4 linked regions of the Lonchura striata genome follow. The protein of the gene in region 1 interacts with the protein of each later gene in a pairwise test. Links are inferred from orthologs where the notes say so. Each region holds a gene or a part of one and is shown in the gene's direction. Other genes may lie near its edges.

What was found.
Region 2: the proteins of SH2D4A (region 1) and SH3GL1 interact in binary tests that used the Homo sapiens proteins (3 or more experiments, as listed by UniProt). The two-hybrid records come from large-scale screens. The link is inferred for Lonchura striata from reciprocal best matches to the Homo sapiens genes SH2D4A and SH3GL1.
Region 3: the proteins of SH2D4A (region 1) and TACC1 interact in binary tests that used the Homo sapiens proteins (3 or more experiments, as listed by UniProt). The two-hybrid records come from large-scale screens. The link is inferred for Lonchura striata from reciprocal best matches to the Homo sapiens genes SH2D4A and TACC1.
Region 4: the proteins of SH2D4A (region 1) and PPP1CB interact in binary tests that used the Homo sapiens proteins (3 or more experiments, as listed by UniProt). The two-hybrid records come from large-scale screens. The link is inferred for Lonchura striata from reciprocal best matches to the Homo sapiens genes SH2D4A and PPP1CB.

Annotation. Positions count from the first base shown.
Region 1 is NC_134606.1:45,007,191-45,014,546, forward strand, and holds the start of SH2D4A (SH2 domain-containing protein 4A), read left to right. Parts: upstream 1-4,340; 5' UTR 4,341-4,674; intron 4,675-7,356. Other genes in the region: sulfotransferase 1 family member D1, read right to left, coding at 121-301, 403-497, 597-723, 817-914, 1,019-1,144, 1,219-1,630. UniProt on the Homo sapiens protein: Inhibits estrogen-induced cell proliferation by competing with PLCG for binding to ESR1, blocking the effect of estrogen on PLCG and repressing estrogen-induced proliferation. May play a role in T-cell development and function.
Region 2 is NC_134630.1:6,027,976-6,035,271, forward strand, and holds the start of SH3GL1 (endophilin-A2), read left to right. Parts: upstream 1-4,287; 5' UTR 4,288-4,406; coding exon 4,407-4,451; intron 4,452-4,519; exon of another isoform or gene 4,520-4,531; intron 4,532-7,296. Other genes in the region: CHAF1A (chromatin assembly factor 1 subunit A), read right to left, coding at 99-155, 1,857-2,647, 2,865-2,913. UniProt on the Homo sapiens protein: Implicated in endocytosis. May recruit other proteins to membranes with high curvature.
Region 3 is NC_134634.1:4,533,826-4,540,646, forward strand, and holds the start of TACC1 (transforming acidic coiled-coil-containing protein 1), read left to right. Parts: upstream 1-3,813; 5' UTR 3,814-3,882; coding exon 3,883-4,049; intron 4,050-4,533; coding exon 4,534-4,646; intron 4,647-6,821. UniProt on the Homo sapiens protein: Involved in transcription regulation induced by nuclear receptors, including in T3 thyroid hormone and all-trans retinoic acid pathways. Might promote the nuclear localization of the receptors.
Region 4 is NC_134605.1:6,984,144-6,991,682, forward strand, and holds the start of PPP1CB (serine/threonine-protein phosphatase PP1-beta catalytic subunit), read left to right. Parts: upstream 1-4,528; 5' UTR 4,529-4,656; coding exon 4,657-4,708; intron 4,709-7,539. UniProt on the Homo sapiens protein: Protein phosphatase that associates with over 200 regulatory proteins to form highly specific holoenzymes which dephosphorylate hundreds of biological targets.

The DNA of each region.
Region 1 (7,356 bases):
AGCAAGAAAATAACTGGGGTAAATCCTCACACACATGATATATTTGCAGCCACAGATGGGGGCTGAAATACAATCCAGGGACATCCCTCCCAAATCCTCCACCACTGGCCAAACCCCCACCTTTTCGGAGGAAGGGGGAGATGCTGTGATCCATCAAGGTGGGGAGCATGGTCTCATAGTTGGCAGCAGGGTTCTTCTTCATCTCTTGGAAGGAGGTGTGGTGCAGGATGCTCTCCACTGTTCTCTCTGACAACTCTTTACCCAGGAACTGCAAGATCTTCTGCACCTCCTGCCGTGGGTCCTGCAGGGTGACTGATATGAGCAGGCTGCCAAAAAAGTGGGAAAGTGGGGGTGGGGGGGGAGGGGGCAACCAGGGTTCCTTCCCCTCCATCCCACCCTCACCTTCTTCATGTCCTCATAGAAGAGGTAGAGTATCTTCTTCTCCCGCTTCTTCTCCCACCATCCACGCACGTGGTCATACCAGGATCCGTAGGGCACTGTGGGATATGGTCAAGGGATTAGCTGAAAAGAGGGGTAGCGGGGGATGTCCTTCCCACTGGCATGGCAGGGTGGGCATGCTGTGGCTCAGCTCACACCTTTGCCGGCCATGAAGTTCTCCAAGAACTCAGCCTTTGTGCCAGGGTCGTGGTGTATCTTGGCCATCTGGTGGAAGTAGTAGTACGAGATGACAACATCCTTGGGGTTGCGGGCCATGTAGATAATCTGGAGAGAGCCAAGGATGTGTTTGGGAGGTACAGAGTAGTGCCTCCTTCCCACCAACCCAGATGGGGAGACAGGGAGCACCTGCCATGTTACCTTGCAGTCCTTCTCCCAGAAGGAGGTTGGGAGGAGCTGGACTGGGAGATGGGTCTTTACCAGCCGCGGGGATGGGGTGTTCTCCAGCTGATCAACACCTGTGGCACAGGGGACTTAGATGTTTGAGCCCCAGCACCCGCACCCTCATGCTGGCTCAGTTCCCTCTCTACCCAAGCCAGGCAGCCAGGCTGGGGAAGCTCACCACACAGACTCTTGGAGACCTTCAACTCCAAGAAGGGCACACGGTTGTAGATGGCATCCCGTCGGCACTTCTCCACATCGCCATTGTGGTAGATCATGTCCATGATCTCGCTCAGCCACGTTGTGCCTGCCACAGAGGGACAGCATTGCAGAGGCTGGTGTCACCCCATGCCCCTGGCACCCTTCCCCAGGACCACTCACCTGATTTGGGGTAAGTGGAGATGAGCAGGTCATCTGGACGTGCTTGGAAAGCCTTCACCTGAGGCCAGCCCTCGATGAAGCTCTTGTAGAGGGGAATGCCATGAAGGCTTCCCAGCTCCTGCCTGATTGCATCTTCCTGCTCCATGGCTGACAGTGGGTCTACACAGCACTGGCTGTCTTCCCTGCTGGTAGCCTTCACAACCTCTGAACTGGCTGGCACCTGTGCCAGGACTGTGCCTGGAGTAGTACTGGATCCTGTGCCAAGACTGTGCTTGGGGCAGTGCCCCATCAGGCGAAGTCCAGCCCAAATCACATGTGACAGAGGTATTGCCAGAGCCACGGGAGTGTGCCCTGATCCCTGGTAGGATACTTTGGTAATGTGGATGCTGGCTATGCACCAAGCCCAAGCCATGAGGGGCTGGGAATGGAGCCCAGCATCACCTCTCCTCCCACATGGCTGAACTTCTCCCCCAGCTATAGCCCCTTTAATGAGTGCCACGGGGTTGTGGAGGTACAGAGACAGCTCTTCCACCCAGGGCCCCCATTGCAGGCAGCCATACCTCTCAGGATTCCATGTGCTCTGGTGGCCATGAGCCCTGGCACCTCCACCCTCCTGCCACACCCAAGCTGTAAAGGTTAATGAGAGATGGCTCAGCTACGGAGCACAGCTATGGACCTGGCTGAGGGTGCTGCTAGCAAGGGTAGCCCCCCTCTCTGCCCTCCTGAGTGCTCCTTTGATGCCTCTTGTAGGAAAGGGATGAATAAGCTGATCTGCTCCATCCTGGATGATCTGATCCAGCAGGTTGTACAGTACAGGAACCCACCATGATGGAGCAGGTGCTGCTTTTGCTCCAGGAGATCGAGGAGAAGCAGAAGCCAAGTGGTGCCTGGCCCAGGCAGATGGGGTCTCTGGGAAAGGAGGCACCAGTGCGGGACAGAGCATCTGGACCATCTGCAGAAATACAGACTCACTACTCTGGCCTTCTGTATCCAATGAGGAAGATGGAAGAGAGTAAACGTGTCTGTTACCCTGACAAAAAAATACATGCAACATTTTCATCTGATGATGAGGAAATAACATCATGATCTTTACTTAAAATTGAAATACAGATGATGGACAGGGTTGGCAAACTGCTACCAAAACGGTGCTATATATGGTGGCCAAAGTTCCAGGAAAAGTCTGGCAGACTTACATGGGATGGAAACATACAGGGCAATCCCCAAAACAGAGAACTGGGAAAAGATGATTCTTTACCTCCTTCAACTTCCCCTGAATCTGCTAGACCTCATGGTGGAGAGGACAATCACACACAAGTAACTATCCCATTTGATCCAATTCAGGTGGTTGATTTGCAAGAGAATTTTGGCCATAAACTAGGTGATACTGAAATCCAGCAACTGGAATCCTATCAGTGCAGATACAATAATGGCTCATACATTCAGATTCCAGCTGACTCTCATCAACAATTAATTGCTAGCACCATTGAAATGCTCCAGGATAACATCTCTTTGGCTCTTGGTTGTATTCAAGCTAGTTGTGGGTGACAGCTGCCATCACATGGGAAGGTGAAGACAGTGCTCCCTTCCCCTTAAGGGTGGGATGCCACAGTGGGCTGCAATGCCCCCACAGCTCCAGCACACAGTGAGATCCCCCGACACAGCCAGAAACCTATCATGGCTGAAGCCCCGTGCCCAGCACCCCTCCTCAAGTGCTCCAGCTTTACAAGTGCAGTTACAAGGGAAAGCACTTTGGGGTCTGGACCTGTGACAGGTGGATTTATGGGGATGGCTATTAGCTCTCCCATTATGCTGTTTGGGGGATAAATGGATCAAAACCCTGCTCTTAGCTGGCTCATTGCTCTTTATTCCTGAACTATGTTTCTCATCCATCCCAGTGGGGCTTGGTGACCATCTCAGATCCCTCCCTTGTTTCTCATCCCTCAAAAATATCTGGGGGTGGTAGGCAGGAATGCTATCTGTAGCCCAGCGGGATGCTTTGATAACCAGCTCTCAGTCCACTGCCCGGAGGAAACGTTCATTGAGAAAAAGGATCTGCCCATGGGGCAGGACACGGTCCAGGAGGCCATCAGCGGCATCTGGACGGAGCAGGACATCAGCGCCAGGGCCAAGGAGGCGCAGGGAGAGGAGCAGGCGGGGAGCCAGGCGCCGCAGGGTGATCTCAGCCAACGACAGATTCTCCTGAGGTTCACAAACCAAGGCGAAGGCAAGGGCCAGCACCGATAACCAGACTACTGTCACCCGCTCAGGGAATGGGTCTCCAGGGGGCATCTGGAAAAGACCCCCTGGAGCATCTTGGAGTGACATCGGCTCATCGGGTAGCTGGGGAAGTTGTGGGGAGGACGGGCGCTCCAAGGATGACTGAAGCAGTTGACACTGGGAGGCCACTTGCCTGGAAGAGAAACGGGGGACCCTCGTGTTAAGGACCCCCACCTCATCCCGGGACAGTGACCTCTCTGTTGGGGGAACAGTGTCCCAGGATCCCCAGAAAGGGAGGATCCCATGAATGGGGGAGTGGGGGGCATGGTCCTGGGGTTCTCGCCGAGCCCTGTCCCCCGAAAGGGGGGCTGCCACACGCTCTCCTCAGGAATGGAAGGTGTCCCACAGTCAAGAGGTGTCCCAGCCCTGGGGCCAGGCAAAGCCCAAGAGCCCGCCCATCAAACAAAGGGCGTATCACGGCTGCGGGGATCCCAGGGACACGGACGGCACACGGTGGCGGTGTCGCACCGCGCCCAGCCACCCCGGAAGGAGATTCCCGCGGGGGGGATGTCCCGGCGTACCTGGCCACGGCCAGCGGCTGCTGCTTGCGGCGGAGGCGCTGCGGGGCCGCGGGGCCGGTGCCGGCGGGTCCCGAAGGAGCGCGCGGACAGCACGCGGCAGGGGGCGGGGCCACCGGCGCCAGCGGCGCCAGGCGCGCACCGTGGCGGCCCCGCGCGCCGGAAGCGGCGGCGCCGCCTCGGACGGAGCGGCCCTGGCGGCGGGGCGGGGCACCGGGGCGGGGTGCGGGCCGCGCGTCGCGATTGGCCAAGGCTGGCGGGCAGCGAGAGCTGATTGGCGGGCGGAGGGCGGTGGGCGGGGAAAGGGCGCGGGGCTCGGCCGAGGCGGGGGCGCTGCCCCGGCGCGTCCCCCCGGGAGCCGTGGCCTTGTCCCTCCCTGCTCCTGCTCCCGTCCCGGGATGGCTGCGTGCGAGATGGGCTGGACACGCCTGGGGGAGGACGTGTGGCCCCCGGTGGCTCAGGGTGATATGGCCAGGGCCAGCATGGAAAGGTGCTTGTCTGGAGTGGGGCATACGGAGAAGTGTGACTGGCACAGGGGACATGGAAGCGCCTGTGGCCAGAGGGCCGTGGAGTGGGACATGTTTGGGTGGAGACGTGAGACTCTTCCATGAGACCTTTCCAGCCATGGAAAACTTGTTTTCTGCCTCAAGTGATTTCAGCGGTAAAAATGTTTTTTGACAAATTCCTTATGGCTGTGGCTGGTTAATCCATGGGTTGAAGGTGGGGGTGGGAGGGTGTTTCTGCCATGTTCGGGGCATGTTTGGGAATGTGATATCCCAGCTATGGTGTCATATTCAAACTACTGTGTCCTTATTTCAGCTATAATGTTACATTCAAACTACAGTGTCCTTATTCTAGCTCCGGTATCCATGCCAGGCATGGTGTCCGAAAGGAATAAGACAAATGTGTCTTTAGAAACAGACCTCAATCTGCTTGTAGATAGAGCTAGGAACTTACAGATAGGGAAGTAACAGAAGAAACTATTAGTTCTAAAAAATGTTACTAATCAACACGGAATGTTGCTTAGCCAAGGCCATGTTAAATTCCTGAACCTAGAGAAAAGGAACAAAGACTTAATACCTTTACTTCTTTATTTTACATAACAAAAGGGGCCTGCGTATCAGAGGGGGGCATAGAGGAGGCAATTTGGGAAGTCTGTACCTTCCAAGTAACTCAGCCATCGGGAAGGAGGAAGAGGGTGATGCGGCCAGGAACTTAGGACAAAAAGGGGGCTGAGTCCCCCAACAATCTGGGAGACCCGATGGGAAATTGCCATGGGCCTCTCCCTCTATTCAAATAAAGCCACGCGACTCCTCTGTCCCTCTTTTGGACACAAGCCTCTGACATCGTGGATTCACGTTCCTAACGGCGTCCCTCGCGGAGCTGTCTCCCAGGAGTGGGTGTGCAGCGTTGTCCTCTCGCAGCCTTGCTGCAGCGCACGGCCAGAGCCGCGGCTCGCTGCCGCCGCCGGGGCTGCGCTGCTGCGCCGCGCCCGCCAGGCGGCGCCCGGCGCGGGGCAGTGCGCGGCGCGGGCGCGGAGCCTCTGAGGGGCCGCGCCTGCGGAGGAGCTGCGCGGAGCTGGCGGCTGCCGCTCCTTCGGGATTCCAGCTCGGGACAGGCTCTCTTTAGTTTCTGCTGCACCTCATTTGCAGCTCCAGGTGGTTTGTTTCTGTCCCCAGTTGGTCTCAGGTTCAGCTCATAGTATTTGTTCGTGCCTCCAGCATGTTTTAGGCTCCAATTTGGTTCACTTTCCCCGGCTTCTTTCCGGCTTCAGCTTATTTGCAGCTCCCGTTTGTTTCCGTGTTTGGTTGTGGCTCCAGTTCATTTCTGCTCCGGCTCGTTACTGCTTGTGCTTTTTCAAATGATCTTGGTTTTTGACAGGGCCACAAATCAATCACTATCGTAACTTAAATATGAAAAGACATAATTGTACGTTGTCTAAAGATGGACTAAACTTCTTGGACCAATGCAACTGGACCTTCAGCCTCCAGTGGGATTCCCCACAGGTGCCCCAGTACTGGATCCCACTGTCAGGAAAATCCACAAACGACAGAAGTTTATGTCGATACAGGAGAGACAGAGGAGTCCTGCAACTTTATTTGAATAAAGGGAGAGAGGCCCTCACACAAGCTCGCGGGGTTTTCTCGCTCAAGGTTTCGGAGGGCACAGCATCCGTCCTCAACTCCCAGCTGCAGGTTGCCCTCTTCCTTTCTCCATTGGCTGAGGTACTCGGAAGGTACAGCCTTCCCAAACTGCCTACCACATATTCCCCCTTGTACCTACCATTTTTCCCCAAAGTTGAGAAATTGAGGTTTGTACAGACCCACTTGTTTGTTTCAGGAGCTAAGCTGTCTGGTCTCTGCAACAAACCTGCTGCCCAAAGTTAGTACAGACATTAAGACCCGTTTCAAATATGTTAATACCAGTACTGTCACTCATCAAATTGTAAAGACATTAGCTTTCCTCTTACCACCTTGATGAATAATGGGAGTGAAGTTCCAAACAAGGTAAAGAACAAAGTGGTTAAGCAATGAAAGCAACAGTCACAGGAATGTGGAAGAGAGAAAATTTATGACCTAAGTTCTTGAACGGGGAAAACACAGAAAGATAACACTCTTCTAGTCCAGAATGTGTAATGATGAACTAAAAAAATCCCCAGTTTTGACTGGTTCTGTACTGTGAACTTGCCCTAGGGATGAACTTTTGCTCCTTATAATAGTAAAAACCACACCCCAGCTCAGGCATCTCCCCCTACAAAAAGACCACCATGCGCCAGTAACAACTTAAGCCAAGTAGTAACTTAAGTAAGACTTAATAGCCCAAGATTGTGCCTCGGGGTGCTGCCTCTGGGATTTACCACCCAGCACCTGTTTCTGTGCAGAACAGTAAATCAAATTATATGGTTAGAGAAATCTCATTTTTTACACTGACTGAGTTTGGTTGAGTATCTGATCCTGTGAGTTAACCTAGAGAAGCTCTCACCCTTTTCACCACACTGTTAATTCTCTCAGTGATTTTGATACAGGGAGATGATCCAATAAATGTTTGCACATTATTCTAGCAGGGAAGATACATTTTCCTTGAAAATAGAGCCCTGCAGTCTCAGACTGTGTTCAGTGGCTGTTGCTAAATCAAATTATTTTTCCTTCTTGTCATTACCACCCATTCTTACCTGCTACAAGATAACTGCTGCCCCCTCCAGCAATATCAGGGACCTATAGGGCAAGTCAGTTCAGCTATAGGTAATTTCAAAGTAGTTTATGCTGTGGTGACTTCATTGGTTTTGTTCTTTAAGCATTATATGCTAGCCTTACGCAGAATCCAGTACATAAAGGGGCTACAA
Region 2 (7,296 bases), on another chromosome or scaffold:
AAAAATGGCAAAAGAGATGTTCCAGCTGGGCTGAGATAAAAGGCAAAGGCCTTGGTCGGCTCCTCAGGGGAGGTTTGGGTGTCAGGGAAATGCCTTACTCTTTGCAATCTCAGCTTCTCCTTCTCTGCTGAACTTCTGTGGAATTTCTGAGGTACCTGGAATTACAAAATGCAAGTTTTAGAGGAGATCCTGCTCCTGCCTTCCCAGCCTGAGTGACACCGGGCCGCTCCTGCAGATCACAGCCAGTCACTCCAAATTCCCCCAGAGCAGGGAATGAGGACAAAACTTGGGAATTTCCAATCTCCCCATTCCCATCCCAGGGCTCCTGCTCCCATGAACAAACCCCTCAGGTCCCCTCAGCAAGGGAACACCACGTGCACAGCACCCAGGGGAGCTGCTCTGAACCACAGGGGACATTTCAATATGGCAAACTCGCTTCCTTCCAGCTAAAATTGGGTTTGTTTGGGTTTTTTTTTTTCTTGGCCTCCACCTATCTTGCTGTGATATTTAGTATTTAGCTGTAATTTTATGAATACAAGGAGTGTTTTCCACATTTTTACAATTTCTTCTTGCCATCACAGTCCACTTGATCTTCCACCAGGAACAGCTCACTGACCCTAAATTCCAAACAGGGCACACTTCCCGTTTTTCTTTTATTTATGGGGGAAAGAAAAAGGTGGTTTATGCTTAAGATCATTGCTCATAGACTGGTTAAAGATTGTCAATATTTCAGCACACTGTGACTTGATTGACTGGATCCCCCCCTCCTCCTCCTGCCATTCACAGCATCACATTGTGAAATTGTGATTAACAGGCTAACACAGCCCAACTGCTTTATTTTCTATATTTAGCTGCCATAAAACAGGAGTTCTGTCAAGTGAGGGCTTCAGCTCCTCAGAGCTGCTTCCTCCCAGGAAAACAAACCTGCCAGGACTCGCAGCTGCACAGCTTGGGGTGCAGCCCCTCATTTTGGGGAGCAGCAGACGAGCAAATCCAGCCCCACTGGCAGTACTGGGTTACACCAAGATTGCTTTTTGTTGTTCTGCTACACTGGAAATACTTCATGCCTGCTTGAGTCTGTTTATTTTAGGGGTGGAAGACTGAGAGTTTTCAGAGAGGAAGAATTGATCGCTTGACTTGATAGACACAACGAAAGGACTGGGAGAACCATCCCCGTGGTGGTGCTGCTGCTCTTGGAAGCTTCTCTGTCCAAACTGCCCCAAAAATCAGAGTGTTTGGGGGCCTCCTGCTGAAGCAGAGCTGCTAAACTGAAACTCAGGTGAACAAAAACCCCCTCATCCAGAGGTTTTTCATAGAATCAGAATGCTTTGGGTTGGGAGGGCCCTTAGAGCCCATCCATGGGGCATTTCCACTGTGCCAGGCTGCTCCAATCCCCACCCAGCCTGGCCTTGGGCACTGCCAGGGATGAGGCAGGGCAGCTGCTCTGGGAAATCTGTGCCAGGGCTTTTCCATGGCAGCTGCAGGAAATTCAGAGCTGGAAAAAACATCTGCACTGGCTGTGCTGGGGGAACATCCTCACAGGAATCCCAGCAGCTCGGAGGGGGATGAAACAGAGCTTGGGAAAAAACACCTAAAGTACAAAACTGCTGCTCCCAAAACACCAAGTGTCAAGTGGGTATTCCATTAAAGAAATGTAAATCCAGCAGCAGCCAGAAGCAGAGAGAATCAAACCCTTGAGCTGCAGGATTTAAAGACTCCAAAGGGCAACAAATCAGTAATCAACCACCACCACCTTCCCAACGCTCCTCACTGCCCCACTCAACCTCCTCCCCACAATCCCAGCAACCCAAACGTTGCACCACAGCAACTTGCACCCCAAACCAGAGCAGACCAACCTTCCTGGCAGGTGTGGAGGCAGCCAGAGGAATGCTGCTGCCCTTGGTCTGTGCCAGGAGCTCGGGGGAGCTCCCGGAGCTCAGTGAGGAGTTGGTCAGTCCCGAGTCTCCCTCGTGGGACGACTCTAGGGCCTCGCTCTCCGAGGCGGTGCTGCCATCCAGAGAGGCCACCTGGGGGGATTTCAGGCTCATGATGTCCTCCAGCAGCACCACGGGCACCTTCCCCTCAAAAAGCACATCCTTCAGTTCACCTGGAGTGCCCTTCCTGCCTGCCACGTCCTTGCAGGCCGTGAGGCCGGAGCAGGGCTGGCTCCCAGCTCCCAAATCCTGCTCTGCCTTGGCTGCAGCTGCGCAGGGCCCCTCAGTCTGCGTGGAGTCACCTGTTGGGCTGCTCTGCGAGGAGCTCAGGCAGCTCAGCTCCTTTCCTATGGTGCCATTGCTGACAGCAGCTCTAGAATCCACAGCCTCCTGCTCCGTGCCATCCCCGAGTCCGTGGGCAGAGCCCTTGGAGAGGTCAGGAACATCCCCGGGGTCACTCGTGTCACCTCCTGGGTTTTTCTGGATAAAATGGTCCAATGGACCTTTTCCATTCATGAGTTTTGGAGGCAAATTCCCATCTGAGCTCAGCTGGCAGTCATTCTCCACATCGTCCAGGGAGGCACCTGAGGCATCCAGGGAGGGATCCTTGCTGGGAACAAAAGCACTCGGGGAGCTCTTGACTTTTTTGACCTCTGGATTCACATCGAGTTTTTCCTTTGGCACAGGATTGAGGCGCTTGAAGGGCAGCCGAGCTGCAACAACAACACCAGGTTAGAGCCACGAGGTGACAAAGGGTTTCATTCATTTTTAAGAATAAGACTGAGATAAGCCACTTAGAGATGCTTTAATCACAGCCAAGCCAATCCCAAAACAATCCCATAAAACCCATTTGTGCAGCCAATGTATTCCACAAAATCACATCTGAGATGTTCTTGCTAAAACCGTGCTGGATGAGAGACACTCCCTTACCTTGGACGAGCTTCCGTGGAGGAACAGCAGCTTTGTCTCTGCACTCCATGGCTACGGGAGAAAACAACAAATCAGCACCCGGGGCTTTCTCTGAGACAGCTGAGGCCGAGCCCAGCAGCTCTCCCAGGGCCGGCGAGGGAGGACAAAGGGGTCCCACTGTCACCCCCGAGCCACCAGCTCCCAGCAGCCGCAGCCTCCTCCTGGCTGGGCAGAGCAGGAACGTCCCCAGGAGGCCCCGAGGAGAAGCGAGGAGGAAATTCCTCCCTGTGAGGGCGGCCAGGCCCTGGCACAGCGAGCCCAGAGCAGCTGCGGCTGCCCCTGGCAGTGCCCAGGGCCAGGCTGCATCACCCCGGCGCAGCACACAGCGTCCCTACCCACGGCAGGACGAGCTTTCGGATCCCTCCCCACCCAAACCGGTCCGTGACTCCCCGAGCGAGGCTGCGGGGCGGGCCGGGGCCCAGCCCCGGGGCGCGGCGGCAGCTCCGGCACCTCCTTTGTTACCCGGGGCAGGCCCCGCGCACCCCCGCGGCCCAACCGCCGCCGGAAACACCTCGCGCCCCGGCCGCGCCGCGCCCCGCGGGCTGCGCCCTACCTGCGGCGGCGGCCGGCGCGGCTGGCGGCGGTGCCGGCCGGCCCGTGAGGCGGCGCGGCCCGCGCAGCGCCCGCGGCTCCGGGCCCGGTCCCGCCCGGCCCGTCCCGCTCGTACTTGGCGGGAGCCGGGGCGACCCCGCGTCCCGCGCCGCTGATTGGCGGAGCGCGCCCCACGTGACCCGCCCGGCCACGCTCCCCCGCGGCGCCTCGCCTCTCGGTTGGTCGCCGCCGTCAGCGCCGCTGATTGGCGGAGGGGGGTGTCGGTCCGGCGCGCTGCGGGCGCTGATTGGGCGGTTTTGTAAAGGGCCGGCGGGGCGCCGCTGGGTGCCGGGGCTGGGCCCGAGGGATGCCCGCTCACCGGGCGGGAACGGCGCTGCGGCGGGCCGGTCCCGGGCCGGAGGAGCCTGTCCGCAGCACCGGGAGGAGAGGGTGGAGCCAGCACTGCCGCCCCTCGCGCTACTACGGGCATCGAGCCACCGCGCGAAATGGCGGCGGGACCAGCGGCCAATAAGCGCGCCGCTGTCGCGAGGGATGCTGGGAGCTGTAGTTTTCCATTTGGAGCTCTGTCGCCCCATTACTATAGCGGGGGTCCCGGCACCGCCGTCCCCGTGCGGCGCACCCGGTCCGCTCCCGGCGGGCGGTGCTTCGTCCGTCACGAGAAATCCACGGCTGCGCCACCGCCGTTCCCCGCCACGAGCGCCCGTCGCGCGTGTCGCGACAGAACGGCTCTCTCGGCTCCGCCCGGCCGGCAGGGGGCGCGCCGGCCCCGCGCGGCGCTCCGGCCGCGCCGCTCGCTGGTGGCGGCGGCCGGGGGCGGCGGCGGAAGCGGCGGCGGGGACGGGCCGGGCCGGGCTGGGACGGGCGGAGCGTCCTGAGGCTCCCGAGGCTCCCGCCGCCCCCAGCGCCAGGTCCCGCCGCCCGCAGACCGGGCCAGGCACCGGCACCGGCACCATGTCGGTGGCGGGGCTGAAGAAGCAGTTCTACAAAGCGACCCAGGTGAGACACCGGCACCGCGCGCCCGCTCCCGCCGCCGCTGCGCTGCGGCCGGGCCGATCATCCCTTACCGGTCCGGAGAACCCATCCCGGCCGCTGCTGCCCCGGCGCTGCGCGCTCCCCGCCGTTATCCCGGTGCTGGTCCCGCCGGGCATCCCCCGGTACCCGCCGGTGCCCAGCCTGGCACCCCCCGGGATCCCGGGCTCGTACCTCCCGGTTCTCGGTGTGATCCCGGGGCTCGGTGCGGGCCGTGAGCGGAGCCGGGACCCCCGGGCGGGGCTCGGTGCGGGGAGCCGTTCTCCCGGTGGCACCGGGGAGGGGACACGGGCAGGGAATCGGCTTCGCGGCGGTGACACCTGGGGGTCACTGGGGGTGTTTCCCCCTCCCCAAAACCCGCCCGCACAACCGGGACGGATCCAGCCTTAAACCGGCCGGGAGAGGCGGAGGAAGCGCCGGGAGCAGCGGCCCCGGTAACCCCGGTAACCCCGGCGGCGGCCTCGGGAAGCTCCCGGTTCCTGCAGAGCGGCTGGAGCGGGAGGGAAAAGGGCTGGGAAAAGCTCCAGAGGTTCGGGAATCGCAGCCAGGCTCGAGGAGTTGGTGCGGTGCCCTTGGAGCTCAGCCCTGGGAGCGCCCAGCGCCGGGCTTGGAGCAGCCCCGGACGGAGGAATGGGATTTTCCATCAGCTGCTCCACAATTCCATAATTCCGTGTGGGAACGGGCCTCCAAGAGGCTTCACAAACTCCTTTTTCCTCCCTCAGAGGAAGCAATGGCCATTCCCAAGCCTCCCCAGCAGAATTCTCCTTCCCACCGCCTCCCGTCCGCCGCTGGGAGGTTTTGTGGATGCGTTTTGGGAAGGGTTCAGGAATCGCAAATTCCCCCTCTGCTCCTGCTGCTTTCCTGCCCCTGCTTTCAATTCCAGATAAATTTGGCACGGATGGTGTTTTCCATCGCTGAGCTTAAACCCTTTCAGTTCATCCCACCCCTGTGTGCGACATGTGTCGCCTCCTTCCTCGGCTCCGTTTCCCCAAATCCGTTTTATTTACCCAGCAAAGCAAAAAGAACAAATTCCTGAGGTCATCCTCCACCCTCCTTTCCCACTGAACCCGTCGTGGGGTGGTTTTTATGCTGTTTTTCCTCAACTTCCACGGGGAAAGGTCATGCTGGGGACTGGGAGTGGGAGGATTTTGCTGGCCTGGATGTGCTGTGGTGGCGTCAGGAGGTGATTCAGGACTAACACGTTCCTAAGCCCCAAAATATCATTTTAAGCCCCAGATGAAACCATTTTTTGGAGGAATTACAAATTCTTCCAGAGGTGCTACCACCCCTTGCAGTGTCCACGACTTAGAAATGCTCTGGCTGGAAACTGGGAGTCACTGGTTCCAGTTTGGCCATTTTTTCTTGTCTCTTCCTCCCTTCCTTCTCTTTTCCCCCCTTTCTCCCCTCTGGTCCCACTCAGCCCTTGGCTGAAGGAGGGGAGGATTAGTTATTTTTTGGCTCCCTTCAAACCATCAGACTCTGCCAAAGCCCAACATGTGGAAGATCTTTCCTAAAATATTACGTTTTGTTCCACGTCTGTCCTTCATTGAAGGCAATCAGAGCCAGGAGTGGGGTCTGCAGGGACCCCAAAGATTTGGGATCCCTGTTTAGGATCCAGAGGGAGCAGGGCTTGGCTCGTGGGCCCCATCCATGTGATTTTTCCAAGCCCACGTCTCCCCTGGGTGAGGCAGCCCACATGCAGGAGAGAGCTTGGAGTATCCTGGAAAAAAAAAAAAATAAAATAATCTGAGTCGTGCTGGCAAATGGTGGAGATGGGGAACAGCTCTGAGTGTGTCCAGAACAGGTTCTGCCTGTTCACAGCAAACTGTTCCCTAAAAAAAAAATAAAAAAAAAAAATAAAGAAAGCTGGAGAAAACATCCTGAGGAAGGGGGAGAAACAGCAGCAGCAGCTTGGAGCTGGGAACAGGGTGGGAAGTCCCTGCCTGGTCCAGGGTTTCATCCAGCCTGGAATTCACAGGGACCTCCTGGTGTTGTAACAGCTTGGTTTGCACCCTTTGGGTTTTGTACAAACTGCTGGAAATCCTAAAATCCTGCAGATCTTCCCAGGCAGTGGGCAGGACAGGCTGCTGCTCCGGGGGGGATCCTGAGGGAATCTGGGGGTGCCAGCAGCAGGGCTGGAGGGAGGAAACGGCCTCAGTGAGGCTGAAATCTGATATTAAAGCAAATTTTTTCCATGGAAAAGGTGCTCAGGCATTGGAACAGGCTGCCCAATGGAGTCGCCATCCCTGAAGTGTTCAAAAACCAGGTGGATGTGGCACTTGGGGACACGGTGGTGAACCTGGGCTGGACTCAGTGGCCCTAAAGCTCTTTTCCAAGCTCACCCATTCCACAATTCCACATCCCAGCCCTGCCTGGGTCACGCTCAGCCAGCAGCAGGAACAGCCCAGGAGCTTTTTGGGGTCAGGGGAGTGCAGGGATGGGATTGTGCTGCCCTTCCCAGGAGGTTTTGGGGTCAGGAAATGCAGGGATGGGTTTGTGCTGCCCTTCCCAGGAGGTTTTTGGGGTCAGGGGAGTGCAGGGATGGGTTTGTGCTGCCCTTCCCAGGAGTTTTTGGGGTCAGGAAATGCAGGGATGGATTTGTGCTGCCCTTCCCAGAGCCCAGGAGCTTTTTGGGGTCAGGAAATGCAGGGATGGGTTTGTGCTGCCCTTCCCAGGAGGTTTTTGGGGTCAGGAAATGCAGGGATGGGTTTGTGCTGCCCTTCCCAGAGCCCAGGAGCTTTTTGGGGTCAGGAAATGCAGGGATGGGTTTGTGCTGCCCTTCCCAGGAGGTTTTTGGGGTCAGGAAATGCAG
Region 3 (6,821 bases), on another chromosome or scaffold:
CCCGAGGTGCCCAGGCTGAAGTTCTGCCCAGGTCAGGCGAAGCAAAAGGAGCCCGGCGCTCCGGGGCAGCGGCGGGGCCCCAGCCCGGCGCTCCGGGGCCGGGAGCTCGCAGCCCTCGCAAGCCCATCCTGGGGAGCCCTCTAGCGAGAGCAGCGCCCGCCCGAGCCCGCCGGGCTCCCGGGGCCGCCGCTGTTCCCGGGACGTGTTTCGGGGCGCTGGCACACCTAGGGGTTACGCCGGGATGCTTTGGGATGCTCCCGCACCTCGGGAACGCCCGGGACGCTCCAGATGCTGCCGCACGCAGGCGATGCAGGTCCCTGACCAATGGAATAGGTTGGAATAAAACGCAGCAGCAGTAAAATGCTCGTGAAACACCTTGAACCTCCTCTCCTGGAGGAGATAAATGCTATGTGGATAAGGTGCTTATTACAGGCTGTGGGGAGATTTACACAGCAGTGAAATATGGATTTGTGTTTTTTCCGTGCGCTGATCTCTGGGCTGTCGCCACCATCCCCTGCTGTCCTCCTGCCCCATCCTGGCATTGCCTGCAGGGAGCCAGGCCCTGGTCCTGGTCCTGGCAGGGCAGTGAAAGGCCCCACTGCAGAGGAGCAGAAAGGCAGGAGTGGAAAAGAGAAATGAAACCCCACCAAAGATCTGTTTCTAAGCTAGAAAAGTCAGCACTGGCTGCTGTGCCCAGAAAAGCTTAAAAGCCAGAAATAGGTGTTCTCCTGCCTAATGAAAGGGCTGAGAGGGAAAATTCCAGGTGCATGCCTTCCTCTGGCCTGGGGCACTGCAGCTCCAAACGCGGCTGTGTGATTCCTGTTCCGCAGCGTTATTCCTTGAGCCCTTCCTGGGAACCAAGGTGCGGGGACACTGAGAGAAATTGTGCACGCTGTGCTTTTGGGGTCAGGCAGAGGCACTGCTGCCAGACAGCCAGAAGGAAATTCATCCCCGGTGTGAAGGGAAGGTCCATCTGGATGAGATCTGTTATCCCTGGATGCAGCTGGCTCCCTGCAAGGATAAACATGAAAAGCTAAGCAAGGATTTGCTTCTTTTTGCAGCTTCTGTGATGACAGAGCTCTTCTAGTTCCAAAATATTTGGGGCTCCACCTGTTCTCTGTGCAGCAGGGGCCGCTGCTGTCCCCTCCTGGAAAGTCCAGGCAGCGTGAGAAGCGTGGGTGGGATTTTAGGCAGTTCAGCACAGCCACTGCCAGAGACGTCCATGGGCTGCACATCCCCGGTCCCTGAGCCGCTGTGTGTGTGCAGGGCTTGGCACAGTGAGTCCTGTGACAGCAGTGAGGGAGGTGACAGCGGTGCCAAGGACAGCCCGTCCAGCTGCTGCCTGTGTGGGCTGCATCTCTCTGCGAGGATGGAAACTGCTGGCAGGTGTTTTAAAACAGGTCAGCATCCTCCCTGCTCTGCAGAAATGTGTTTGCTGACTGTGCCAAGCAGCGTTTGGCAGGCAGAGCCTCCAGTGTGACTGACAAAGTCAGGTTATCTCCTCGGTGGTGATTTGCAGCCAGTGCTGCTGCCAGGCTGGGTCAGGTGCCAAGCTGGAAAATGCCACTCGAGGCATTTTCTTGATTGCTCATCAGGAACAGCAGGTGGAAGCAGGCTCTGCCCCTGCACTGCTCTGGTATCTTCGTGCCCCAGGGCCCTGCAAGTCAGGAGCTCTGCAGCCGGCATGGTTCAGTCCTGCTGATCCCGTTCCTGCCGGCTCCTTCCCCGGGTGCTGGCTGGGACTGGGGCTCCTCGCTGGAGGCACAAGGACAGGTCCTGATCATTTCCTGCACTCGTGTGCCCCAGTTCCCTCCTGCTCAGCCTGTCACACGCAGCTCCTTCCCTCTGCAGCGGAGGTGGCTCGTCCCTGCTGCTGTGCCAGTGCTGCTGCTGCTCGGATGCACTCGGCTTTCTCCTTCCCCTGGCAGAGCTGCTCAGCTGCTCACGGCGGTGCCGTCACCGCTGCTGCTCCTCGGGTTCAGTGGGAGGTGGGAAGGGGAAGCGGGAGCAGGAGGAGGATGAGGTCAGGCTGCAGCGAGCTGCTGCAGCGCGGCTCATGCTGAAGATCTGATCTAAGATTCATCTGCAGAAATCGGCTCTGCCGCTTTGGAGAGGGGAAGTAGGCTGTGCTCTGCTCACGGCAGCCATGGGCAACAGGATGTTGAGCTACTGCTTTTGCTTCAGACTCATGGTTTTTGGCTAAGCTTCAATATGAGGCACAAAGTCCCCTCTTGCTCAGTGTCCTCTACACGGCAGTAAGGGATTGTGCAGGGTCCCTTGTCCCCAGGCCCTGGGGATGTGGGGGCCAACATGGTGCAGGGGCTGAGGTGTTCCCTGGGCCTCTCCTGCCACTGACCTGTGGTGGGACCTGGCAGCACCTCAGCTTTGGTTCACCCAGAGAAGTCTTTGGGGAAGCTTAGAAGTATTGTGGAAAGGAGTAAGAGATTTTCTTTTCAAGAGGATGGGCAGTAAAAGCCCACAGGAATGACACATATATCTAATAAGGACACCAACAGAGGGAAGCCTGGAGAAAGGATCCCTGCAGGGAGGTTATTTGAGATGCTCAGCGGTGAGTACTGAGCCCTTTGAAGCTTCGACAGAGGCTGGTGTCAGAGGCAACCAGACCAGATGGACAGGTCTGCTCTGGCCCGGGGCCCCTCTGTCCATGCAGAGGCATTCCCAACTCCCAGCGCTGGCTGCTGATTCACAGGGAAGCCGTGGGCTCAGCCTGCCATGGGAGCTTTGGTGTGGTCAGCGAGGGCCAGCAGCTCTTCTCTGCAGTGGGCCGGGCTGGCTTCACAGCAGGACAGTTGTCTGCCATTCCCGAGGCCATCTGCTGCTGGGACCGGGGTAAAGCAGTCAGGGTTCCAGGGAGCTGCCAATGTCCGGAGCCAGCAGTGCCACTGCCCATGGCGGATCTGCTGCCAGAGCCCTGGACATTCCTCACAGCGCTGTGGCCGCGGCATGGTGTCAGTAATGTTATCCTCCTCTCTCTAGCAAGCGTGTGGGAGGTGATGAATTTGGGAGTGGGAGCCCTTGTTAGGGGAAAAGTTCCTGAGGGAAAGTTCCCGAGGGAGGCCAGCAAGGTTGATTTCTGTGGGAACTGCTGGCTGTTCTTTTTAAACAGCAATAGTTTAATAAGTAAATAAACTTGCTGCCACGGAAGGATATAGCATCAGCCAGGGCTGTTGAGGCCAGTATTTCCTTGGAAAATGGAAAGGACAGGTGTTTCCCTCCTCTCTGCCCCTGCCTCCTGCGCTCGGCTCCTCAGCTCTGGAAAGCCCCTTTCCTTGGGCAAGGCTGCCCAGGGGGGCGAGCCTTCCCGGTGGGACCGAGTCTTCCTGGGTGAAGTGAGAATTCCTGGGAGCTGCCTGCCCCCCAGGGCAGCTCCCCGCCCGCGTGGGGTCTTCTCGGGCACGTCCAGAGTGGAAAGAATTCGTGTCCTGCCGGCTCTGTGACGGCACAGGTGCAACCAAGTAACTGCGGGATGAAGCGGCGGGGATCTGGTTTCACAGTTCCCTGCCCTCTCACGCGGGGGCTCCCTGTGGCGGCGGTGGGGCGAGGCAGGGCGCCGCGAGGGGTGACAGCGATGTGCCCGGCCCCGCCTTGGGGCAGCAATCGGCGAATTTGGGAGTTCGGATAGGAAGAGCGGCGGCCGTGCCCCCCGGCCGGGAGGGGCGGCCAGCCGGGCTGCCCCGCGTCCCTCCCCGCGGCCGGGGGCTCCGGGCGGCGGCGGGGGCGCCGGGCCGGCCCCTCCCGGCGGGCGGCGCCGGGGGCGGGCGCGGGGCGGGCGGCCCGAGCGGAGCGGAGCGGAGCGGAGCGGGGCGCGATGGGGGCGGCGGCGCGGCCGCAGTGAGCCCGGCGGGCAGCGCGGCGGGGCCGATGGCGTTCAGCGCCTGGCAGATCCTCTCGCCGGTGCAGTGGGCCCGCTGGACCTGGTCGGCGGTGCGGGGCGGGGGCAGCCCCGAGGAGGGGGACGCTGCTGCCGAGGAGGATGGTGAGGAGGAGGACCGGGACCCGCCGGCGGGGGGCTCGGCCCTCGGCTTCAGGCAAGTCGCCCGCGGCCCCTTCCCCGCCCGCCCTCCCGCGGCGCCCGCACCCATGCGGGGCTGCGGGCGCGTCCTCCCCGGCCTCTCCCCGCCGCCCCTCGCTCCCCGCTCGCTGCCTGCCTGCCGGGGATCCCGCACCGCGCCGGGCTGGGGGCCGGGGCTGCTTCCCGCAGGGTGCTGGGCGGCGCAGGGCCGGAGCGGCGGGGGATGCTGCGGGGCTGCATGTCCTTGGAGGCCCGTGCCGTGTGCTCAGCCCGGGAACGAAGCCCCGCCGCAGGGCTGGGGCGCACAGGGCGCTGCTGACGAGGATGTTTCACCTGCTCTCCCTTTTCCGTTTGCTAGCATGTCCCGCTGGACAGGAGCGAGTGGCTGCCCCGGATGCCCACGGCCAGCCTGCGGCCTGGCTGGACGTGTAGGCGCTGTGGAGGATTTCAGAGGTAGCCTTGAAAGCAGTAATTCCTCACTCTTTTCCCCCCCTCGGCAGCTCGGACTCCACTGATAATTTTGAGACCCCTGAAGCAGAAACACCAACCTGCTCGCCACTCAAGGAGTTCTGCGAGCCGCCGGGATTGCCGGAGTCTGAGGACCGGACCCAAGGTAAACAGCCAGCGTGCACCTTCTGCTCTTGGTGCTCTGCTCCGCTGCCACAAAGGCAGGGTGGCGTCAAGGAGTAAAATTCTCTGACTTTGAGTAATGCCTGGCGCACTTTTAGTGGTTAATGGCCTGGACAGTTCAAATGCCAGGGCTGGGCTGGGCGCTCCACAAAGAGCTGTGAGGGGCTGATTGGGAGGAATCCGAGGGTGCTGTTGAATTTTTGTCAGTTAAACGTTCCTCTGAGACTTCCTCTGCAGCCTGGGGGCTGCCCTGACTGCTACTGGCTGGTGGGACCTTTCTCATCCCAGGTTCTTGCCCAGGAGTGGCAGGATGCCCAGTTTGTGTCCCCCAGGCTGCTCAGTGGTAGGGATTTCATTGCACAGGCCATTTTTCCTTGGAGTTAGGTGCCAGGTGTCCTCACTGAGTAGCTGCTGTTAAAGATGCAAGAGCTCAATGCTGTTAAACCCCATTTTTTGAGAAATTGCAGGAGATCTGCTCTAACTGCATGGCATTTCCTTTGCTGGTGGGTCTTGAGCTGTTTTGCACGTTTATCCCTGTGTCCCACACTGCTGCTGCTCCCTGTTAGCCCATGGCCTTCTGAGGACCAGCTCCCTGCTGTATCCTTACCCTCCTCCTCAGGGGTTTGTGCTGGTGTCCGTGGCTGATCCTGGTGTTTATCTCTGGTTTTGTGCTGCTGGGAGGAAGCTTTGGAGCTCTGGCACTGCTGCAGCAGCTCACGGGAGGTTATCGGGGCAGGGCAGGGACGAGACCTCCCCTTGCATCTGCTCTCAGTAGGGCAGGGTGGCTGGGCAGTGGCAGGGTGTTTGTGAGCCCTGGGGTGTGTGAGCAGCCTCTCCAAGGCACAGGGCTGTTTGTGGTGGGTCAGGCAGTCCTGGACAGGCCGTCCTGAGCATTCCCTGCCCTCTCTTGCCCCTCACTGCTGCAGACCCTGGTATGTGATGTGCAATGTTGTGCAGCAGCAGTGGCTGGGAACTTTTTGTGGGGCTGGTTTCAGAGCACATGGGCTCAGTCCAGACTGTGGACCCTTCTGTGCAGAAGTCCAGGCACAGGATGCTGTGGCTCTCAATCTCCTGTGGTGTTATTCCTCTTTGGGGTGGATCTGGGGCTCATCCATCCCTGTGGAAAACTTGTGTTTGTTTGCTGTGATGGAGGGAGTGCTCTGTTCATGCTTCCAATAATCACAGCTCTTGGAATAATCCTTTTAGAAGGGATGATAGAGACATCCTTACTTTGGGGATAATGCCTAGGAAGGGGGGAAGAAATAAAGGCTTTCCTAGCAGGTAGGAAGATCATTTCTGGCACAGCTTAGGGAAGCGCATTGCCTCAGACTCCAGGGTGTCACTGTTCCCCTGTGTGCCTGTGCCCCTTGTCCTGGGATGAGCAGCTCCCGCTCAGCAGTGAGGGAGTATCTGCTCCTGCACACAAAGCTCCCAGTGTTCCAGAGACGGGGGCATGATCTCCAGCAAAAGCTGTTTTTCTGTGCTGGCTGGCAGAGAGTGGGATGCTGGGGCCAGCAGAGCCAAACTGCGGTGCCACCACACTTGGCTCCGGCCCTTCCCTGCCCCTGTCTCTGGCTGTGTCTGTTCCTCTGGGCCGGTGGAGAGAAGGATCGTCCAGGTGCAGATGGCTCTGTGCTGTGCAGAGGCTCCCTGGGCTGTTACACCACCAGTGCAAGCCGTGTGTTAAGGCCTCGTGTTTGCGTGCTGCTGCTGCACAGCCGCCCAAGCCCCTGGGTCTGGCTGCGGCCCGGGAGCAGCAGTGGCAGGGAGGCAGTCGTGGCATGGCTGCGTGTCAGCACCTCCCCAGGGACTGCAGGGCTGCCTGGGGCAGTGCCAGAGCTGCAGCTGGGCAGAGCCAGCACCCCTGGCCTTGAGGGACAGCGAGGAGTGGGCACTGTCCGCTGTGCAGTTGCAGTCTCACCCTGCCCTGGGAATAAATAGGGTGAGGAATGACAGAAGCTTTGGCTCCAGGGCTGGCTGCTCCACGCACAGCCAAGAGGTGACCTGGGTGTGTTAAACTCTGCCCTTGGGGACAAAAATTCAGCCCTGGAGGGGGCTGCAGTGAGGGTTTGTGCCCACTCAGAATCAGTTTCCTCTTGTGGTCTCGGATGATGGGACTAATTCTATCCCATTCTTGCTCGAGTTATCTCCAGTCATC
Region 4 (7,539 bases), on another chromosome or scaffold:
GTCCTGGGAATATGGCTGAGGACACAGCACACTGGAGACACATTAGTGAGAAGAGACGTAGACATAGCGTGCAGGAGACCAGACCGTGACTCACCACATAACCCAGAGGAACTTATTTACCTTCTCTTTTTAAGTGTAACCTTCAGTGTAAGAAATGTGTATCAAAATTTAATCACTTCATGGACTGTTATGTAGTCTGATTAATGATATTTAGCGAGCACTTGGAGATCCCTTGATAAAGGTTGGGTTTTTAGTCAATCTGTTATTTCTGCCTTCAGAGCTTTTATTCCTTGTGTCAGGTCCCAGAGTTTAAAGGAGTTCTTTCTCACTCTCTGCATGCACTTTGTGAAACTGGCTGCTGGTGTCAAATGCCAGCATATTCACAGGGCGTAAACCATCTGGTTTTGCTGAAACTAAATATTCCCATGTTTACTGAGGAAAATAGATGCAGACACTTTCAGTTCTTGCAGCTGTTCCTTCCTGGGAAACAGTAGGAGAAGATTTTTTTCTCTCCAAAGCAGAGGAATAGTAAGCTTGATTGACATCCTGCAAAATGCAGATCTTGCAGTCCCAAATTATTTTCCTTGTTTTGCTTCAGAAGTCCTTCCCCCTTCCTCACTTGGGGAGTAACACCTCAGCAAGTGTTGTGTATTTCTCATAGTTTGTGGGCAGTAGGACAGGCTGTCAGGGGAATTGAGATTCTATCACATGCTAATAAACGTAATTTAAAGAAAATAAAACAAAACATTTGAAATATGACACAGAGAGATTAAGTAACTTGTGATACAAAACCCTGGTTATGCTTCACCTTGTCCCTATTTTGCATGCAGCTTCTGGGGGGGCTCTCTACTGCCTTCCAGACTCTAACTCAGCTGGGGGCTGTCAGGATAGGGCAGAGGGAGCTGCTATTTTTTAAAAAATTAGTTTTTCAATATGGGTCTTACTTACGATATCTATTCTAATCTTTTTTTACTGTTTCAGCATTGGTTTTTGACATAAACAATCTGTTTCCTGGGAACATCAAGATCTGCCCTGCCCTGCCTTTTAAATATGCATAAAAGGTAATGATGGCATAACTACATTCACAGGAATCAAAGGTCAGTATTAACCTACAAAACAATCTTGTTCTTCAAAAAATACTATTGCCTTGATGAGTACAGGGTTTGTGTCTCAATCAAAGACCTCATGCTTCAAACAAAAACTATATTAAGAGAGAGAGAAAACAGCACTACCACTGAATGACTGGGGCATTCACTGGACATGGACCCAGACTAGAATGCCTGGGCCAGTGGATGTTTAATTGTTTACACAAAGTGTTGCAGTTCCAAGCAGGGATATAAAGAGAATCAGTATGGATGCAGGCATTTAGAGAAGAGTTTTCCAGATCCTTGGTATGTGCCACCAAATGCAAACCGCTGGCTAGTTTGGGACTCTCCTTAATTTGTGAGGAAGGTTGAGAAAATCTTGGGTTTAGTTCAGTGTAGGAGAATATTTTATTTTTACATCTTAAAATGTTCTAACCAAACCCAACAATTTACCCAGTTTTAGTGCAAATACTGAGAAACAAAAAAGGGTCATAAAGTACTACAGAGTGGGATCTGTTGGCTTTTCTTCTTCTATCACTTAATCTAAGCTTTTTGGACAAAACAGGGATAAGTTATCTGCAGGTTTTATTTTGAGATTACCTTAATACAGTTTCTTATAATTTCTGACTAAAGAGATCTGTCAATATTTTTGTAAACAAACTCTCCTAAGAAAATACACTTTCAATTGGATCACTAATTTCTATTTCAAGTAAGAAACTGGAAAAGGGAACTGAGGAGACAGCAGTGGTTTAGCTATTGCCACTCAGGGAGGATACGCTCTTAATTACACACTGGAAAACTAACCACATGGCTCCTACTGGCCTCTCCCTCCTATCCACACAAGAGCTGCAGTCAGCCCTGAGTTACAGTTTGCCAAGGTGATAAAGTACAATGGAAATGAGCTGCAGTGATGGGATAATGCTGTAAAATACTGTCATGTACTGTCTACCAGGTAACTGATGACAGACCCAGGAGGGTGATAGTTTTTGACAGTTACAACACCACAGTAAATAACACAAAAGTATATGTAGCGCACTAACTTTAATGTGCACTACATATACTTTTGTGCATATGTAGCAGAAGTTCTGTCTGAACCAACATGAGGTTACCAGGAAGGAGTAGTCAGTGCTCTGTAGCTGGGGAAGCAACTCTCTCAAATTCCCAGCAACAGCAGCCTAAAGTGAGAACTCGCGTCTACACAGTCACAGTTGAGGGAATGACATTTACTAACACATAGTTGTTTTGCCAATTTCTTTGGAAATTTTTGTCTTTCAGATCTGACAAACTGAGCAGAAGAACAGTGCAAATGAAAGGACATTTTGAGAGAGCATGTGGATAAGGAAAGTTGACACATGAGGTATTTATGGTAAATGGCACTGAGACCAAGAAGGGGAAAGTTAGAAGAAAAACCATCTTGGTGGACGTGAGAGGAATTTCAAAATAACTGAAAGACAATTTAGAAAGGTGAGGATTATTACTGGGCTTTTGACAAGGCATCAGTCCAGTTCCCCCTTGTACTTGAATCACCACTTAGCTGTCTTTGGCCTGTATCTGTGCATGGTGTAATGCTGAAATTACTGAACATCTACCCTTGATCACAGAAAGTGCTTTCATTGACTATTTCTTTCTGTACTGCAGAAGACAATAAGCCTCATTCTCTGATCTTTTAATTCTGTTTACTGTACTTGGATTATGTCAATGGGATATGTTAAGTTTTAACCCACTGAGGGAGAAACCCACTTATTTGTGTCCCTGCTCAAGCTACAAAGAAAGGGGGCTGCAAACTTTACAGGGTTATGCAGCACAGTGAGGGGACCTTCCACCCAAGTGACAGCCCAGGTACAGCTGGGCAGTAGCTGTCACCCAATAAAGCATGTCAGCCGTGCTCCCAATAAGAAAAGACACTGGCACAGAATCTACAAGGAAAGAATGAGCTATTTTTTGCAGCTTGTTCTTTTTCATAGCATCTCTGCTTATATTAAAATATTTTGTTGTTATGATATGCTGCTGAATTGTTTCTGGAACATGCTGACATGCCTAGTAAAAACAGTTGTTAGAGGATTGTTTTGTTCAGCGTACCTGGAAGAGTTTATCACACTACGGAGTTTGGGAAGATGCCTTAATTATATTTTTATGCCACGGTGGAAGATAATTTCATATCCCTGTTTAATTATCAATGCAGAATGTTCTGCGATAATATATTATTATGTCTGAACTGTCTGAACCTGATGTTGTGATGGCTTAAAATAGCCTCCAGGGCAGATCAGTTATGTGAAATGAAACTGGGACAATTCCTAAAAGCTCAAGAGGGACTGCAGACCTATTAGTCTTGGCAGCAATGAAGTAGTTGGGATAAGGATGAACTTTCAAAAAGTGGAATAATTGTTTTTCCTAGTTTAAAGAAAAAATGAAAGAAAAACGTTTTAGTGTTTTTTTTTTTTTTTTAATTTAGTTTTCCAATACCAGCAGAATTGGAAAAACAAGAAAGGATAGATGTACATCCTGTCATGAGCAGATGAGCTGAAATTTTATTTCCGTATAACCTGCCCACCTGTGTAGGCATTTCAAAAGAGCATTCTTTCACCTGTCTGGACACTTAGCAACATCTGATACCTAATCATGGCCCCACCTTGTCCTAATTGCTTTTGTTTTGCTCATACTCATTTTCTTCTAATCAGGAGATAAATATTGGATTTCAACATTATATAAGGTGGCAGCATTTTGCTTGCTTGTAGGGACTGATGGAAAAGTTCGAGTTTCTACACCAACATCTATATTTAGGTATATAAAGGAGAGGTCTGTTTTTCCTAGAACATCTGCACTTTGTTACTTTGTCAACATACATGTATTTATCTGCTCTCCCGGTTCACAGAGGGTTTTCACCACCTAAATTTTAAAGCACTTCTCTGTCCATCCAAGGCAAGCATCTGCTGACAGAAGTATGTAAACATGTCTTTAGAGAGCTCATCTCAAAAAAAAAAAAAAAAAAAAAAAAAAAAAAAGTTCCAGAAATCACCAAAAAAGTCCTCTAAGCATCTCCAGCCGCAGTGAAACTATGAGTGTCACGAACTAGAGTTTTCTCTGACAGCTGCGTTAGAAGAGCGCTGCGAAGAGCACAGCGCGCTGCACCAGTTATGACAGACTTTTTAAAAATTATTTTTAACAGGCTGCGAGCTGGCAGGGCTGCGGTGCCAGCGGCGAGGGGTGACCCGGCTGAGCGCGGCCCCGCGCTCGCTCTCCCCCCTCACGGCCGCGCCCGCTCCGCGCCTGCGCCGCCGAGCCCGCCGCGCCTGCGCGCTGCCGGGGCGCGGGGCGGCCGCGGCGGGCGAGGCGGCACATGCGCCGTGGCGGCTGCTGAGGAGGGGAGGAGGCGCGGGGAGGAGCGGTGCCCGCGTTCTCCCATTTAGCTGCGAGGGAGCGGGAGAAGCCGGGCGGCCGCCGGGGACCGCCGGAGGGGGGTGGGGGGGAGCCACTGTCGCTGCGGCCGCCGCTCCCTGCTCCTCCTCCTTCTCTGTGGAGCGCCCTCCACCCCGCCCTCTCCCCGCCCGGGACCGAGTCTGGTGGCCACAAAATGGCGGACGGGGAGCTGAACGTGGACAGCCTCATCACCCGGCTGCTGGAAGGTGAGCGGGGCGCCGCGCCGCGCCGCCGCCGCCCGCGGGCAGAGCCGGGGCAGGCGCCTCGGGGCGAGCGGGGGCAGCGCCTGCCCGGCGCCGCCGGCCCGGGGCGGCGGCCGGGAGCGAGCGGGCACCGGCGGGACGGTGAGAGCCCCGGCCCTGCAGCCCCGCCGGGGGAGGAGGGGCTGGTGAGCGCGGGGGGTGCCCGCCCTGTCTGGCTGCCTTCATATTTAATAGGAAAAAAAAAAATTAAAGCAAAAAAAAAAGCTTCGTTTTCCGTCTTCACGCCGCTGCAGCTGCCTGGATGAGGGGCGAGCTGGGCTCTTTTCGTCGCTAGCCGAGCCTTTTCCTCCCCGCCCCTCCGGCCGGGTTGTAGTCGCAGTCCTCCGTGTGTGAAATTACGTCTGCGAGCTGCGCTGGGTGTGGGGCTGTGTGTGCGTGAGTGTCGGTGGGAGCTGCGCTGGGTGTGGGGCTGTGTGTGCGTGAGTGTCGGTGGGAGCTGCGCTGGGTGTGGGGCTGTGTGTGCGTGAGTGTCGGTGGGAGCTGCGCTGGGTGTGGGGCTGTGTGTGCGTGAGTGTCGGTGGGAGCGGAGGGGCTGAGTGCGCTGCCGTTCCTCAGCCGACGGGGCAGTCTCCAGAAGTGGCTCTCATGGGTGGCCGATAAATTCTGTGGAGGGTTTTCTGTGTATTAAATAGCGATTCTGCCCGTGAAAGTAAGCTCACTTATTGCCTGCTTTTGGAGAAGTTGAGGAATTATTGCTAGCGTTTTCTTTTTATTTAAGCTATGTCGTGAATGTTTAGTCTTCTTGGGCCTCTTCTTCCATTAATATTTCATTCCACATTCAACAAATACCTGGTATGCTGGAGATGAGATGAGAGTACTTGCATGGGTATGCGCCGTTCATTTATTTGGTTGCTGTACTCCTTAGATAGTTGGATCACATTGCAGAAGGCTTATAGAAAGGAATTTATGGAACATGTATAGTTTGGGAAGGGAAATAAGTTTTGTAAGGCTGAGTTTTGTTTAGTCGAGTTACTACAAGGCGGCGGTTTAGGGCTTTAAGGGCTTCTTAGTAGTTGCTATCTCTTCTCTTTCGACGTGAAAACGAAGAGCAGCAAAATCAATATTTAAGAATACATAAAGTCTTTGAATAGTTGTTATGCTTGTGATTTAAGGTATGCAGTGTAGTATAGTATGAAGAAACAAGTATCAGTTGAAGTTTCTCTTAGATCGTTAATGCAGATAAAACTCCCTTTTTCTGGATGTTGAAACACGGATTAATAGGTAGGTTTTAAAGATGAACTAAATAATAACCTATTAAATGTTGACATTTTAGGGCAGATTTGGGGGGAGACATTAAGATACATGTATATTTATGGTTCTGGGATTTTTGAGACGCTTTAAATAATATATTTGAAAGATACTTGTTCAACAATAGTGTAGTAATTTAAATATGGAGTGCTTTAGGAGGAGGGGATTCTGCATTGTTTTGGTGTGCAACTTGTTGGATTGTTCTGTTGCCTCTTAAAATATTACTCTGCTTTTTTTTTTTTTTCTGAAGACTTTTAAAATATGTCTTCCATACAGTTTACATACATCATAAATATGTGTGTTGCAACTTCATAGCTTTTTTGGATTATAGTTCTTACCTTATGTTTCAGCAGCCTACCCCGTGGTTTTTTGTCTTCCATAGTCCTTTAACCTTTTGGGATATATGTATGTACAACTTCTGAAGCAAGCCTTGCTTGTAATTTTTCTTTTCTGTTTCCGAGTCCATTTTTAACTCTAAGCAGAGATTATGAAGATTTTTAAGGGGAATAAGATGCTTTCTTTCTGCTAACATTAGAGGAGTACCTGGTACAACATCTTGTATCTGAAACGTAATAGGTAATTCTTGCAGGTTTTGTTCAAAAAAAATGGCAGCAATTAAAGGAATGCATTGTGTCAATTATTTTTGCTTTCTTTTTAACATCTTTTATTTGTTGCACTGCTGGCATATAGCATTTGAACCTGTTGTTCAAACAGCAGTGTTCCACAATGAAGGTTGTTTGTTTTTTTGTTGGTTTTTTTTTGTTTGTTTTGTTTTTTTGGGTTTTTTTTTTGTTTGTTTTTGGGTTTTATTTTGTTTGTTTGTACAATTGGCAGCTCACATTCTGGAGCTCCTGCTGTTGCTTAGCTGACCTGTTCTGGTAAAGTGAGTATGAATCCCTCTCCACGCTGGTTGCGCAGAAAAAATTCCGTTGACTCTTATCTCCAGTTAAATTGTTCAAAGCAAGTTGTTTGGCTCCATTACTCACACTTCAACTTTTACTTAAAAGGATAGGGAAACATGGCTTTTGTGGTGTGTTACTACAGTGAAATAATAAAAAGACATTTTCGCTAAATATTGTCATGCAGTATATATTTAGTCCTTTTGGTTCTTTAAGTGAAATGTATGGCTTTAAGTTTGAATAGCAGTCTACAATTGTCTCTCAGTGGCTGCTGCACGTAATTCTTCAAGGGTAGAAAATACATATCAAAAGCCACAGCAGTAGGAAACTTCACTGCTGCTACTGGGTTGCTGGGTGGTGACACCTGTTTCTAGGCTGTGATATTAACTGTCAGGAATTCTTGCTCCTACTTTAGTTAGGTTACTCTAACTGTTTTTATCCTTCTGGGTTATATGACACATTAACTTGCCTTTTGATTGGAGTTACCTACTTAGATTGTCTTACATTTTTTTGTGCTTAATTGCGATTTTGATTTCTTTTCGAGATATCAATATGAAGTGGCCTACAGCTGGGCTGTTTGGGAGAATTCAAGAACATCTTCCCAGTCCTCAAGGAGGATAAGCCCAC